2 linked regions of the Caenorhabditis elegans genome follow. The protein of the gene in region 1 interacts with the protein of each later gene in a biochemical or structural test. Each region holds a gene or a part of one and is shown on either strand. Other genes may lie near its edges.

What was found.
Region 2: the proteins of frpr-3 (region 1) and flp-20 interact in a test that uses a peptide from one of them, tested with the Caenorhabditis elegans proteins (one large-scale study listed by BioGRID).

The regions. Positions count from the first base shown.
Region 1 is NC_003283.11:7,769,705-7,773,817, reverse strand, and holds frpr-3 (G-protein coupled receptors family 1 profile domain-containing protein), read right to left. Parts: upstream 2,558-4,113; 5' UTR 2,491-2,557; coding exon 1,888-2,490; intron 1,519-1,887; coding exon 1,416-1,518; intron 1,144-1,415; coding exon 978-1,143; intron 929-977; coding exon 813-928; intron 766-812; coding exon 671-765; 3' UTR 549-670; downstream 1-548.
Region 2 is NC_003284.9:9,348,756-9,351,906, reverse strand, and holds flp-20 (FMRF-Like Peptide), read left to right. Parts: upstream 1-2,012; 5' UTR 2,013-2,034; coding exon 2,035-2,146; intron 2,147-2,196; coding exon 2,197-2,269; intron 2,270-2,333; coding exon 2,334-2,436; 3' UTR 2,437-2,631; downstream 2,632-3,151.

The DNA.
Region 1 (4,113 bases):
TATGGTAGTCTTTTTTAATATTGGTGCTGCTGCTTCCTCGTTGCTTTTCCATTTTTCAATGAAATTACGTCATTTTAAGCGAATTTTTTAACGATACAATTCGACATACTAAGTAAATTAATTGAATTGATAAATGGAAAAACGAGGACGAGGACGCAACTGCAAAAATTAAAAAAAAAACATACTACCATAAACTTTTTAGCGCGCCGAGACCCATCTGAATAAATCCGTGCACCTCTATAGAGTGGATCACTGTAATTCTTAAAGTTTTTTTTTGAAAAGGTGACGTTCGTGGTGAGAACGGGCACCAATATTTTAAAGCGAAAAATTCAGTAGTTCACAGCTGGATAATAATTTTTTAAAAAGTTTTAGTTTCTCTGTCAGTACTGTTTTTAAACCAGTAGTTATTTTTAAAAAGTGAAAAAATTGTATTTATACAATTCTAAATCGAAAAACGAAACTTGGCATCGCCTGGAAAACGTATTTTAACTTTAAGAAACAAATCTCAAAAAATCTGGGATTTTCTTTTCGTAATCCATGATAAGTATATGATAGTTTATTTTTCAAAAACACCAGTGAAAATTGTTAGATAAAAAGAAGAAAACGATATGTCACTTAAAAACCCGTTAACAACAAAAATTCGATTATGGCAATAAATTGTGACAAATTCCTAGATATCACATGGCTTTGAGTAGCTCGGTTTGTAGAGCAAATTGTGAGAGCTGCTCAGGCGAGTTGACGTGCCTCTTATTGAAATCATGGATTCTGAAAAGAATTGGGTAAGGATATAATATTATTACAAATTAAAAAACCTTTGTATCTAGTGACCATTGTTCGATTTGATGTTGCCTCTGTATCATATACATTGAACTTTGACATACTAGCATACCACCGTATCCCGGGAAGTGTCCGTGCTTGATTTCGGAACCTAAAATGGGCAAAAAATTTAATATTCTATTTATTAAAGGTCTCGTTACCTTGTTGAATATTTATAGTAGAAAACAATTGCACTCGTCGAGTTGACAACAATAAGTACATTGTTGATGTCATTCATAAACCAACCAATATCTCCTCCAAAAGTCTCCTTGTCAAGAATTTCCCATATATTTAGAATAAATGAGAAGATGTAGCAAACGAGGAATACTGAAAGCTTCATGACTTTGTTGACTTTAATACTAAATTGTATTGGGGATATGTAAATAATTTTTTCATCAAATGCTATCCAAAAAATTTAATGTTTCTCAAAACTAGTGACTAATTTTAAGATTGGGTTTGTCCTCGCGGTAGGTAGAAAAAAATAAAACAAATTTTTACCGCAAATCCCTTCTATCAGTCTATGAGTGTGACCGTATTTTCATTTTCACGACCACTGAGCAAAAATCCGATTTCTAGAATATCCAAAAAATGAATCTTACCTAAAACAACCATTATCATCATTTTTGCAGTCGAATGTTCTCGTTTCACACTTGCCACTAGTTCTCTTCGTTGCTCGGATGCCTCGATAATTGTTCGCGCTACCTGGAAAATTGCTTTGTTAGAAAATTTGGGCAGTTACACTAAAACTAATCGTTTTTAGGATTACATGCTTTATCTAAATAAATAAAAATAATGTCCTACCTTCAGTTAAGTCTAGGATGTAATACTGACCCTACCCATGACTAATCCTCAGCCTAAGCACACGACCAAGCCTAAACGTAAGCCTAAGCCTAATACTCAGCCTAATCCTAAGCATACGACTCAGCCTAAGCTTAAGCCAAGGCCTAAGCCGAAACCTAAATCTAAGATTAAGCCTAAGACTAAGTTTAAGCTTAAACCTAAGCATACATCTAAGCATAAGCCTGAGCCTAAGGCCTACTCCTACTCCTCAACCCATTGTAACCAACTTACTTGAATGTTGAGAACACATAACACTGTAAGTGGAAATGCGAATTGCGACACCAACGTGGCAACATTCTGGTACCACAATAAGAAGTGCGGATTTGCTCGAAGCTTCGGTACAACAAGATCTTCAATCGTACGATTCTCAGGAGCGACATCGAAATTTATCGTGTACTCCCAAATTCGAATCAAATTGTAAGCAACACTGAATATCACGACAACTCCAACAGTTATGAGAGCGCGATTCCTTGTACAATACGTATTGACCATGAATGGATGACATACGGCTAAGTATCTGTCAATTGTTATGGATACCAGCAACCATACTGACACTGACTGGAACATTATGGTCACTGGATACAAGTACACCATGATCATTGCAGTAATTGTTGGCGGAATGACTTGTTGAAGTTGAGTACTTGCAAAAACTGGAATTGCAAGAACGCAGACGCAAAGGTCAGACATTGACAAGGCTGCGAGCAAGACGTTTATGCTCTTTTTCCGGAATGTTTTACGAGTGTAGATGTAGAATGAGATGAAGTTCGTGAGAATTCCACCAAAGCACATCAGCACCATCACGTTCACCAGAACCCGGGAGAGTAGTAGCAACATTGTTTTTGTGAGAGTTTAGTGGAAGTTGAAGATGTTTGTTGGTCAATTGTGCATTTATGAGCTGAAAATGCAAAAGTTCAAGGTGCGTAGAGGAACAGTGAATGCAAGGAAGAACACAGACAATAAGGGAAATATTATTTTCTAAGATACGCATGACGTCATAGCACTCTAATACTTTTAAAACCTTCTTTCTAGGCAGCCTAGGCTTACATTTTGCTGAGGCACCTAATGTAGAAATAGAAGGTGCGCACAACACCTGTGCACCACGCCATATAAAACATATTTAAAATACTAGCATCCTATAGAATACAGAACGTAAAAATAGAGATGTCCAAGAAAACTGAAGAAAAAATAAGAAAATGGAGGGAGGAAATTGAGCTAATTGATGAATATTGCTCAGCTGTTCATTTGGTGGCAACTGGAAACAGGGGCACAATTGTTCCTCTTCGGGGAACCCCATGTTCTTGAAATGCTCACAACTTCATCAAATTTTCCAGATAGGAAAAGATGGATCGCAAACAAAATAAAGCCTGCTAACTGACAGCTTCACCACACACACTCTCCAAACAACTTTAATAATTCATATAGATTCATCTCATCATAATGCACTTCCGTGGGGGTGGGACATATTCCTGAAATTAGTGCACGATTCTTTGTCATCAGATCCTGGATTCTGATTTTAGGTTTGGGCTTAGGCTTGGTTTAGACTCAGGCTTCAGATATTTGGCGTTGCCTATGGCTCAGACGTGCTTTCAAAAACAGGTGGGTACTGAGAATCCGAGTTATTTTTGGTCCTACAAAAATTGAGGAATTCGCATTTCTCCGAAAATTTTCATAAAAATCCGTTCTGTGACATTTTCCACGAAATTCTTTGAAATTCACAGAAATTCGCAGACACTTGAAAAAGGTTCGGAAAATTTTAGATTGTAAACTGAAGAGCCTACCATTGCGTCTTGTTTATTGTTGAAGTAAACAAGATGTACTTTTTTTTCTAATTTGATAGTTGAACCTTTAATGTTCCAACATTTATTCAAAAAGGTATAGGTAGGCACGTAGGTATGACATGATTAAAATTACCTGATCTTTTATTTTTTCCCCAGTATCTTTCTGCTAGAGAATTCAATTGACCTATTTGGAAAGGCTAGACTATAAAATGAAAAGGAACAAGAAAAAGTAATTATCAAGAATTTTTGCAACACTACCTGGTTCAGACGTGATCATTAATACTTGAAGCCCCCAAATAAAAACATTGAAGAAACAGAAGTGAAGAGCAAAAAGTAGGGAAAAAAAGAAAAGGAAAAACGCGAAGAAGATTCAGATAACAAAGGAGAAACGAACACGTTATGAGGGCAATTATTGGGTCCGGAGATGGGGAGCCACGAACAGCTTATGGGCGGGACGTACTTGAGCAACAAAGTGTAGGAGGTCCCGGGAAAGTTAGTTGCTAATTTATATCCTACTCATGAAAGCATTGGTTTTTTAAAGTACATTCAAACTCATTAAGAGAATCCGAAAAAAGCAAGTAGCTTGAAACCCCTTTCATTTTGAAATTTCGGAGGGATCAGGAAGTATTTGAATTAACAGAGGGATAAAGGGATATTTATATATTGAGCGCTAACGTAG
Region 2 (3,151 bases), on another chromosome or scaffold:
TTTATAACATTGTTATGCGATTTCTGTAGTTTTAACATCTTCATTCTAGATTCTAGACATGTTTTCAGTTTCCAGTCATAATTTCTATCGCGCTCTATCAAATTCAAGTTAACATCTTCATTGGTCACCGGAAAGACGACGGCCCGCCTAAGTTTTTATGACTAATTCGAAAAGTCGTTTCGGCTTGTGCCCTCCTACCATCATACTTCGCTTTTTGGGACTACTGGCAACAACGCCAGTGTTGAGGCGATATAGAACCCATCATTTTGAAGATCCGACAACGACCTTGTTTTTTATTTTTCCGACTTTTTCTTCTTCTATTTCGAACTTTTCAGCTTTTTTGAAATGGCAATAGCAACGAAAAACCCATTTTCATCACAATTATCTCGAACTTTTAGCAGATTACTTTTCCATTACCAGTCACTTTCAAAATTGGAAAATTCTTAGAAAATCAGAGGGTGACTATTCTGAAAACATTATTGTCTTTTGCCGACTATGCGCTACATCCGATTCATTTTTTGTGAGCTCTTTAAGTTATTGGTGTTCCCTCAATGTTATCAGTTACAAGACAAACCAGTAGTGTTAAAAAACGCCAGTTAACAGTTTTCAACAAAAATCACAAAATGTAACTTGTTTGAGAAAACTTGTAAAACGGAAAATACTCAATTTGTATTTAAATATATGATATTATGTATTAAAAATCATTTTAAGATAAACAGTTCCCATTATCTTATGAAAATTAGTAGATTAAATTCAAATTAGGCTTTCTTATATTTCTGGAAAGAAAGAGCTTCTGAAAGTGTTCTGAAAATCTTATGATTTGTTCAAACATCAAAGTAAACATACAAACAAAATACACATATTTGTGCTAATGTTCTAAATATGCAAACTTTAAAGTTAAAGACTAAAGTTGTTTGCCCACTCTAATGTCCATAAGAAATAATTCATACTTATTTTACTAGATTATGAGTTCTCCAAGGCAATTTTTGATCGTGTATGATTGGTGGCACTCTGAAGTTCTAATAATAAGATAAAGACAAAAGATAAGGTTTCTTCCTTTTTTAATAATCTTATGAAAAATTGTTTCTAGAACATCTCTGAAAGTATTTTATTAAATCAAATGACTGCTATAGCTGATCAATGAAAAAGTGCTCCCCGTCCAAACCGGAATATAAGTAGTTGTTTCGCATGGTTCAACTTCGGTACCCAACCTCATAAAACTAACTACTTCTTCACTTTGTCTCATTTTGGTGCATTTGAAAACGTTGAACTCGGACATGTATTGCCCATAGTTTAAATTTTTGAATAAGCTATTTTGAGATTTAAAACGTTATTTTGGCATTTTATTTCAATTTTTATTTAAGTATATTCTTGAGTTATTCATGCATTTCATTTTTGATCACTGAAACCCGATTCTGATTCAGATACAAAAACTGAATTTCGTGGGTTTCGTGATATTTCACGATTTGAAGATTTAAAGATTTTGAGATCAAACGGAGAAGACCCTAATATAGACTGCGATGAAACAAAATAACGTCACGGAATTCTTTTAAAATGAATGGAATCCGGAGCCCGCTTCCTTCATAGTTTCTGTTTTGCAACTCTCGTATCCTCCATCACCAGACAACAAAAATGCTTCATTTGAAATGAATTCGTGAACAGTTTTTTGTTTTTAGTTTAGAACTGCCGCTCCCTTCAGCTCCACCCTCCCATCAAATAGGTGTGCTCGATGTGCCTCGGGACATTGGATTTATTTTTGTATCCTTGCTCATTTTTCATATGCTTTATTCTTTGTCTACTCCGTGACATTTTTCAATAATGCTTTCATTGGAAGTTGCAGTGAAGTTTGAGTTCCATAGGTCCGATAAAATCATAATTAATGAGTTCTAGGAAGTGTTTTACAACATTTCAAATTCATAAATGTTCTCTCCCTCTTCGTGATTCATTTTTTGCATAATTACGCTTGATGATTTTTTGTTGTTATGTGGCTCAATATGTTGTATAAACCTTTTTTTCAGAAACTTTAGTGAGCAAATGTTGGGTTACACTCAATCTCGTGTGGTTATTACACTTCTACTGTTTTCTGTGTTTTTGGCTGTTTGTATGGCAACACCATCTGGTTATCCTGGTCAAGAGCTCCAGAACGGTAATCAGCTGATATTAATTTTCAAAATTTTGATTCCATTATTTTTCCAGTGTCAGATGACTACCCGATTTATGAAGAGGAAGGGTTGCAATTGTCTGCTGAAGGCACAGATGAACCACATGAGTAAGTTAAAATTACTTTTGACATTTTTTGCAAGCACGTTAACAGTTTTTTTTAAACATTACAGAGAAAAACGAGCTGTCTTTCGAATGGGAAAACGAGCAATGATGAGATTTGGGAAGCGTGCAATGATGAGATTTGGAAAACGTTCCGTTTTCCGACTTGGTTAATTTTTACGCCTACCATGATGACTTCCGGGCTTTAAATTTCTGATCTTCGATTAATAATAACATTGGTTTTCTTATTCGCAACGTTTTCCTTCCTCCTATTTGACCCCTATTCTAGAGATTATAACTTTCCTTCCCTATCTAATCGAACGATGTGCGTTTTTTTTAACGTTTGGAATAATAAATTGAAAGTGTGTTACTTGATTAATAAGACAACTAAGCAAAATGCCAAGTTTCAGGAAAGATCAAAACAAAATGCTCTTTAGATTTCATATCCTCTGCGGTCTAACCACTCATATGTTTGCCATTTCTATGTCTCATTAAATATTTGCAACTGACAAAATAATTATGATCTTCCGATAGCTTCATGACTGATTGTTTATCAATATGTACAGTTGAATACGTTGTCAAAGAAAAACAGTGATATACTTGACTAAGATGAATTTATGCATGTTTTTTTTTCAATAGACGTATTAGACGTATTAAAAGTAATCGTTTTGGCAATCGGTTGAAAAATTTTGCAACGTAATGATTCCTAATATATTTTTGAAACTATAGGGTATGCTAACGGGACTCGTACTTAGTGGCATAACTTTTAGTATTACACTGAAACTGTGGAGCTGGAACTGGATAATGAAAGGAAGGCAATCAAACATTTTCAGCGATTCTAGCTACTCGCATGTTTCTACCGCAATCTACAACATCTGGCCATTATGTT